Linked DNA regions of Oryzias latipes. Each later gene encodes a partner of the first gene's protein in a complex. Links are inferred from orthologs where the notes say so. Each region holds a gene or a part of one and is shown on either strand. Other genes may lie near its edges.

What was found.
Region 2: the proteins of ras-interacting protein 1 (region 1) and ras-related protein O-Krev are in contact, whole or in part, in a crystal structure (PDB 5KHO), measured with the Homo sapiens proteins. The link is inferred for Oryzias latipes from reciprocal best matches to the Homo sapiens genes RASIP1 and RAP1B. Residues at the interface, in NP_060275.2 of Homo sapiens: Val147, Lys149, Ala156, Ser157, Gly158, Ala159, Asn160, Tyr161, Lys162, Ser163, Val164, Leu165, Glu181, Arg182; in NP_001010942.1 of Homo sapiens: Val24, Gln25, Asp33, Pro34, Thr35, Ile36, Glu37, Asp38, Ser39, Tyr40, Arg41, Glu54, Leu56, Phe64.

The regions. Positions count from the first base shown.
Region 1 is NC_019874.2:19,945,441-19,949,805, forward strand, and holds the start of ras-interacting protein 1, read right to left. Parts: upstream 3,040-4,365; 5' UTR 2,742-3,039; intron 2,181-2,741; coding exon 2,059-2,180; intron 1,818-2,058; coding exon 1,366-1,817; intron 1,184-1,365; coding exon 923-1,183; intron 815-922; coding exon 573-814; intron 95-572; coding exon 1-94. UniProt on the Homo sapiens protein: Required for the proper formation of vascular structures that develop via both vasculogenesis and angiogenesis.
Region 2 is NC_019865.2:21,779,862-21,784,371, forward strand, and holds the start of ras-related protein O-Krev, read right to left. Parts: upstream 3,022-4,510; 5' UTR 2,796-3,021; intron 1,402-2,795; 5' UTR 1,257-1,401; intron 1-1,256. UniProt on the Homo sapiens protein: GTP-binding protein that possesses intrinsic GTPase activity. Contributes to the polarizing activity of KRIT1 and CDH5 in the establishment and maintenance of correct endothelial cell polarity and vascular lumen.

The DNA.
Region 1 (4,365 bases):
ACATCACTTCCAGGTCGCAGTTGGAGTAATCCTTCTCGTCGTCTGCAGGTTGATTCGTCCATCCAACTTTGGCTTCTGCTCTTGATGCTCTCACCTGGTGAAAGAAAAAGACAAGATACTTGCATTCAATGGTTCTGAGGGGAAAAAAATGACAATTTGAAAAGAGCTTTCTTGGAATGTCCCATATGAAAAGTTTAAAAATAAATATATTTTTTGATGCAGAGAAACATTTTTTTGTTTCATTTATTTGTATGTTTTTGGGTTTTATGTAGTTTTTTTTTTAATTGTTCAAATTTTGCAAGTTTTGTTGATTTTCCCCCTGTTGCTGTTATCTGGGACATAGGATTTATTTCTGAGTAACTGCAGTGTTTTGGGAAATGTTTTTTTTAGATAGGCTTCCTGTTTTTTTTGTGTGCTTCCTGAAAAAACTGTGTTTTCTGTTGTGTAGCTGCATTATGTGAGGGCTATCTTGTTTTTGAAATCACTGTCATGGTTTTCTTGTTGGTTGCTCTTGTTATGTTTTGATTGTTTATTTTTTTTGCATCCTGAAGGATACATTTGCGTGTCTTCACCTCTCCTGGCTGTGGGTTGATCATGCTCACTATGTTCTTCCTGTCCTGTGCCGTTCCGCTGTTGTTAGGGCAGTTGCTTGAGCCTCGGGGATCGTTGCTGACATGGTTTTGCTGGCGGCGACGCAGACTCAGGTTCATGTCACTGATGCTCCTCCGAAGCTCTGTGTTTCTTCCACGGTGTCCACGCTCGCACTCCTCTGGCCCACCACCAGATGACATCCTGGAGCGCCTCCAGCGCACGCCTGTTACCCAGACATGCTCAGCATACATCAGTTTTACCATGAGTCATGCATAAAGAGACAGAACACCCTTGCATGCCATCAGACATATCTGAGAAAGCTCACACATACCTTGGTGGCTCTCCCCATCCCTCTCACGCTCCTGCTCTCTTTCCCTTTCCTCCCTCTCATAGTCCTCTTTCCTGTGGATTTCAAAGCGCCGCTCAAATCCATCCTTAGGTCGCCACATGTCCACTAACAACAAAGGGCATTCCCATGGGGCAACACTTCTCCGGCACTCTGTCTCCCACTTGAAAGCTCCATCTGGTTGTTGGACGGGCTTACCAATGACATCACACAACAAAAAGTCTTCAGGGCTGTACTTTTGGAGAACTATAAGGTAATGAAGGAAGTATAGAGAAGGACAAGAAGAGGGAGGGTGGTTATTTTTCTAAACTCTGCTGTTTATCTTTTTGTATTAAGTCATTCCCAACTGGTTCATTTTTTTCAAAAGCAGTAATGGATTGCAGCAGAGGTCACCGTGAAGAAAGAAAGAAAGTCCCCCTCTGTCATACCTGCGTCATCGTTCTCATCCCTCTCTCTTTCAGTGTAGCGAGTGATGACCTGGGAGATGAGCTGCCTGGCTGTGGAGTGACTGTTAGCCAGCAGGGAGCGATAGTTGGCTCCACTGGAGAGAGCATCACCATAGATCTTTATCAGGCCCGGGGCAGAGGAAGAGGCTGGGGGCAAGTAGTGATGGGAGGAGGGGGTGGCAGAAGAAGCCCAAAGCTCTCTCTCCCTCTCTCCCACTGCTCGGTCCCGATCACTGTTGGAGCGCCCCCGCAGGAAGAGCTGAGAAATACGCTTTGTGCGAGACTGGGGAGCTGCAGGCTTTGGCCTGAGGAAGGCCGGTGATGGAGATGGGGAAGGGGAAGGGGAAGCCAGTGAGGGAGTGGAGTTAGACAGGGATGAGGAAGGAGCAGAGGGGGCCTCGTGGAGTGAGGCTGCGTCCGAACTGGTAGTTGACCTGAGAATGGTGGCGGGGGGTTGGGGCAGATGGACGCGAGAGGAAAGGAAGAGGAAGAAACAAGCCAGCTGTAAATTATGACTGACCAGAACAACCACAATAAAACATACAGATGACAGTGAAACTAAGATAAGACAGCATCAGTTCAATTTTCACTTAAGCGGGCAATGAGACCACAGATAAATATTCATCATGACAGTGAAGCTGAATATAGCATTAAAGGAAATGAGAACAGACTGACTTGACAGAGATAGCACTGGGCCAGCGACCTCCGAGCTTGGCAAAGTGTTTCCTTGGGGAGTTAATCCACAAACCCACAGGGAAATTAAGCTTTCCAAATCGAGGACTCCCAGACCCCTCCATCTAACAGAAAAAAAAAGAATTTTTGTTTTAAATAACACACGATTTCTTTAAAAGTTCATCAAACTATGACAAAATGCGCACATGTCAGGTCTGTCATCAGCTTTGTGTCATCAGTGCCAGCAGAGAAACAATAAAACAATGGGATGATGTCACTATCAAAAGAGTATAAACAGGATACCTACAGCAGGTTGTCAAGATTGTAAACACATGTACACACGTTTACAAAAAAGGCCTTGAAATAATTCTGAAACAGGAAGCGTGTTTCCAAGGGCTCAGGCCCAGCTGTTGGAGTGACAGGGAAAATCCCATTCCAGAGCTCTTTCACATCTCATTCTCCCACTCATACATTTGTATAAATCGTGATTTCAGATTTGAGAGCAATCGCTGCACCTTTGTGCAAAACCACCACCTCTTTAAAGGTTTAGACAGGTCTCAGCTTGAGAAATGTCCACACCTAAGATCTATTCTTTTCCTACCAAGCAGAAGTGATAGCGTTCTTTGAAGAGCCTCCTGCACTTTGAGAACAAACAAACACGGTAACTTCAAATGAAACCAACTCACCCACTGTTGCTTGTGGCCTCTGTTAAAGTTCGCTGTGAGGATCCTTTCACCAGCCTAAAGAGTATTTGCTGTTCAAAGCGATGTGGTAAGCGTTGCCTTTTCTTCACAAGAACGATCCATTTTTGAAAAGCCCTAAATGTTAAACATGGACACCCCTACTTGCAAGTATCCATCAGTTGTTGTCTCTACTAGAACCAAAACACGTTTCTTAGATTTTTCTGTGGAAAAGTGGAAAAGACGTGGTGCCTCTTTCTGTCTGGCTCACAGCTGCTCTGGGTCTATAGATAGAGTAACGGGCCTATTGTTCCAAGTGACAGAATTTCCTTCCTTTGCTTTGGACAACACCTATATCCTGACTGGGAGAAGGAGAGGGAGAGATTGGTAGAAAGTGAGGGAAGGGTACATTTATACTCATATAGGATTTCGACACCTTTTTAGGAATAATGTGAGCATCACACACAGATCCAAATAAATATTCTGTTTTTCTTGTGAAAATTAAAAAAAAAGGTAATTTCTCCTGTGACCGATGTGCTTTTACAGGAACTACTAAAAAAAGCCGGGAAATACTCTCAAGATTGTTGCTATCAAGTCTGGCATTGTTGTGCGAGTTAACCAGACAGGCACACACTAACAAACAAAACTCTCTAAAAAAGGAATTATGTGGACTGTTGCTGAAAAGAGGATGAAGGAAATAGACAGACAGGAAGCTCAGTGTAGACACCTGTGACCTTTGACTTGCTCTTCAACAGAAGGATGCTGACGCATTAAGAAAGGACACTGTCTCGTGTCCCAATTCAATGACTTTTGTACCATCTGAATGGTTGCTTTCAACTTCCTGTAATGACAGAACAGACACGCTTGTTTAAAGTCATCCAAACTGTACACTTTTTTAACACAAGCCCAATGTACGTTATTAGAATCAAGATTTTCATGACTGTTACAACTCGTCAATGGCTTGGGGCACTTTTAAATGTGAAAAATTATAACACAGTTTTGGGGACACAAACTGTTTTATTTTATTTTATAGGTTGGTCATGGTGACATAACCGATTACAGTAGACTGGCTGTCTTAAGTGTTAAAATATTGTGAAAACTTCTCAACCATTATGTTTAACAGACCAGCACGATCAGGCTGAATAACATCGGGGTAGTGTAAAAGATGAAAAAGGAAGTCTGAAGTTTTATTTTGAAAAAAAGAAATGAAAAAATAAAGCTCAATTCAATAACCACAAAAGAACCAAAAGTGACAACAGTGTATGACGCAGTAGGCAGAAATTAAACCTACTTACATTTTTTTCTCTAATCCTCATCTACATTCTTCAGCCTAAAATGTTTATTTATTTATCAATTTATTCACGTTTGAAAAAGATTCTGGAGTCTCCAGTGTTTAAAACAAAAAAACTTGTAGGTCCTAAATAGCTTATTTCCCAGAATGAAATGAGGCAAATTTTAGTGATGCTTCAGAAGCAGAGCTAGAACATCATACGTACAAAGGGGGATGAGAGAGGGGCAGAATACTTTTGAAGGGTGGCAAATTCAATTCAATTTTATTCAATTTTATTTGTATTGCCCAAATTCACAACAACAGTTGTCTCGATGGGGTTCGTATCGGTACTATTGAAGA
Region 2 (4,510 bases), on another chromosome or scaffold:
TTCTCAAATCAATCAGCTGGATCCCAATTTAGGAAAACCTTTAGTCCACACAGCAGGAAGAACCAAAGATACATTTTGAATTATGACTTATGAATTACAGCAGTAATCTAGTAATTTGAGAATCCAGATGACAAAACCGATTTATGTTGATAAGTCCCTCTACATCTGGGGATTAGGGGTCAACAGATTCTCAGGTACAATATGACAACCGCTCCAGAGAGACTGAGGGTCGATGGGGAGCCAAAAAAAGTGCTCAAACTACGGTAGTCCTAAAGAAAATCAAGAGACATGGAAGGATTGTGAATCTCAAATACTCTGTTTTTTTCCGAAAATCAAAAAAAGAAAACTCAAAAATAGTAATTATATCATGATAATGACATTAAGTTATAAAATTAAATGATTTATTTATCTTTCACATCTATTTTGACTTAAAAAATGAATTGATTTAAAAAAAACAAAAAACAACCCTAATTCCATGAAGAAGAAAAAACAATAAATCAATCACAAATATGGAAAAAAAGGTTTTTGTTCATCAAATTTAATTAAAACATCATGATACATATAAAAAGTATTTCTTTATTTACCATGTCAGAGAACATCTACAGTAAAGCATCAAAGTACATTTTTGAATCTGAACCTGATGCAGGTCTGCTGTGATCTTTGTCGAACATTGAGACAGGCGCTACATACAGCTCTCTGTCACAGTCGGCCGACATTAGCAATTCTAACTCTGATGTATGAAGGACAAACAGAAACCCGCAGTGAGAAACAGACACACACAAAGAGCCATTGTGATGACCATCCTTTACTCAAGTACATACAAACACAGAAAGGAGATCAGAGAAAGCATGCATGCCCACTGCGCCAATGTCATTACTGGGGTGAGGGGGCGTACCTCGAGGTGACGCCAGCATGCGCCTGATGTGCTTGTTAGCTTAGAAGTGAATGCATGAAGAGGGGAGGAAAAAAAATCACTCCGTTTAAGATGTAAATTTGTGTGGGTGTCACAGCCTTTGCCTCAAAGCCTTTCACATCAGATAAGCAGCATAAGCCTTCCTCTGACAAGATTTGAGGCTGGACTCAAACAGCTGAAGTAACAAGCACTTCATTTATTCGTCCCACTTAGGGCTATGAAAATTAAAACGCTTCCTCGTTTTTGTTAGCAGCTAATGAATACTTCAAAAATGAAGGAATAGATGAAAGACATCACTTAATTTTTTTTTTAAATATAGTAATAAATAAATAAAATGACCTACTGTTCACAGATATGTCGATAAGTCCCTCTACATCTGGGGATAAGGGGTCAGCAGGTCCTCGGGTACAATTATGTCAACCGCTCCAGAGGGAATGAGGATCAATGGGGAACCAGAAAACACCAAAAAAAAAGTGCTCAAACTAGTCCTAAAGAAAATCAAGAGAAGATTTATGTCAGGAGTACATATAAATGATTACAGATTGCATCCATCCTATTATAGTGTAAAAAGTCAATCACATCTGTGACTGTCACTTTAGTGCAAAAAGACCTTAAATCTCCTTCCACAAAGGAACTTAAAACTAAAAGGACTGTAAAGGTGTTTTACAGATCAATACAAAAAGCAAGACAGTCCAACAGAAGGTCAACATCTCTTGATGACAACTACGGCGTCATGAAAAACAAAAGTTAGATAACAGCATTAAAATGCAAATAATCTAGTTTTAACCCAACTTCTAACCTGTAGAAACACAAAACACATAAATGCATACATTTGGCTAGGGTTGAATGGCAGTGAAGCTAAGTAGGTGACTCAACCCCTTCAGTTCAATATACAGCAGGTATCATGTGTCATCCCCGGACGCTGTAACTGCGTTTTACCTCGACTCAAATGAACAGGAAGGCGCCTGGTTCGAAACTTGACAAAAACTTTCTTCAACACGACTTTTTCTTAACGAATCGTGGTTTATGACAAGGCCGTGGCGCACTGTTATCTTTTATAACCGAAAGCCGCTAATAAAATTTGTTTTGTTTTCGAGACAACTTTTTAGCGGAGTTGGTTTCGAAAGGAAGGGTGTGGCTATTAGTTCCCCATTGTAACAAACGCTCTAACATCGTGTAAAAGTTACCCCAATCGACTGACGACTTTACGTAAACGCAAACACGAACTGGTCACACATTTTACCAGACAAATTTTAAACATTACCTACAAAAAGTCTTACAACTTACGTATTAGCATTAAGTTAGCATATAAGCTAACTAACGTAGCTGGAGATCAGGGTTAAACTCCGAACTACAGAAACGATAAAACTAAAGATATTGTGGCCAATAGACAAACAAGTTAACAAACAGATTAACACTAATTCACCGCTTGAATTTATTTTACAACTTTGTTAATGTTCCATAGCGGCTCACTAACTACTTCGCTCAGACACCGAGTGCTAAGTTAGCTTAGGGCTGAACTCTCAGGGTGTCACTACTTTACCGAAAGTTTTACTTAAAACCCCTTTAGAGTTACCAGAATACATACACAGAAATGAGAGGTATAAATAAACGTTCGCTTATCTAAATCACTATAAATGTTTGCACGAACAACTCGTCAGAATCCGCGGTTAGCAACCGTTAGCTTTTTAGTCTTTTAAATTAGCCTCTCAGCTAAGCTATTTACCAACAAGCACCAGTCTTTACCAGCAGCTTTACAAGTTGTCCGGGTTAAAATACAATAGCTGCTTACTGTATCCTTACTGAACTACTGCGTCATAATTGAATTAATTACTTCGAAATAACTGATTTCAACAGTGAGTAGAAGCCTGATGAGACTCACCGTGTTCCGCTACGTGTGCGCTAAACGTTCCGAGCCTGTGGATGTACGGAAGGTTCAGCGGGAGCCGCTGATTGGACCAGACTCGGCCAATTATGGCAGCGCTCTGTAGAGCGGTCACTTCAGCCGCGCGGCTCCTTCTGCTCTTATCATCACATAGGAGCAAACACATGACATGAAGTCTGTTAAAGCGCATGTGCTTACATCTATGCAGCAGGGCTCTAGACTGCCGCTAATTTAGTCGCGACTAAATTTTTCAACGGTGCGCCTAAAAAAAATCCATATTCGCACGCACCGGTGCGCCCACACATTCTGTATTGTAGTGGCCGTGGGGAAAAAGCATCATCTCCGCGAGTCTGAAAGTCTCGTTCCTGTATGTGTGTGTCTGTGCAGGTGTAACACACTTCGAATAAGAATGGTTGTTTTTGTTGATGAGAATGTACATCTGAGCCGTTCAGTTTGGGTTCGTGCTGGCGTCACCTGGAGCGGATCGTGAAAAAAGTCTGTAAAAATTCTTAAACATCGGAGCTTTAGCTCCTGCATTTACAGTATTTCCAGTACCGTAACTTTCCCACCTTTAACGCATTGAAAGTAATTCCAGTGGACTCTTGAGCGGAGAAAAGCAGCTTTCCGCTGATGTGCGCAGCACCGTGCTGTAGTGAAGTGTTTACGTCATCAACGTACATCAGCGGATACCGCAGCGGAGAAAAAAGCATTGCAGAAAAGTGGAGCCGTGGCTCCATACGTTAGTAATGTGCTGCGTATATCGGCGCAAAACCAGAAAGAAATGCCGCTTTTCTCTGCGTCAGAATCAGCGGATTCAAGAGGATCGCGAGAACGGTAAAATATTTACCTTGTATGTCAAAAAATAAATAAGTTAAAAAAAATGTTATTTTCGCTGCAACAGTTTTGATGTTAAAGGATTAACTACGCTGGCCCTAAAGTTCAAATCACATCAATAAATCACTCAACGCAAAAACATGACAATTTAAAAAGCAAAATAAATAATAAGACATTAAGTTTTAGAAATCAAAACAAAATTTGAAAATGACAAAATGAAATGTTTTAGAAAACAAAAGTAATCTTCAGAAAACAAAATGTTAGAAATGATGATTTGATGAATGATGATTATGGGACATAGCTGATTGGATGATGACGTATGTCCATCATATTAACAGTTATTAGACATGTAGCACCTCAAAACAAAAATATGAATGTTACTGCTGACCCAAAAAAAGCTGCTGCTGTCAAAGAATATTTTAATTCAGGACAAACATATGAAAAGATTCTGGATCTGCTCTGCACTAATCACAAAACTTTACGTTTTTTTAACTGAAATTTCAGCTCAGTGATGCAATTATTTTTTATTCATTTTCAAAGCGTTACCAGTTGTCTTTTAACCATGATTTTTCAGTTTTTAGCCAAATATTTTTTCTAAACTGTCGTTTTCTTGGACATAGTTTCTGTAGAGCGGCAGTTCATTACCTCTGAGTTGTGGGTGGGAATGTTTGGACTGGAGTAACCCTCTACTGACATTTCATGGAATCTCTGGTTACACTCTGTCCCACGAGCTTACAGCCCCTCACAATTACAACCATGGCCGGCCCTCCCTATACGCGAATTACGCAGCCGCGTAGGGCCCCCGTCACTATCAGGGCCCCGAAGTGGCGAAAAAATAAACAAAAAAGACCCAAACCTGGCAACCAATTTCATAGAAT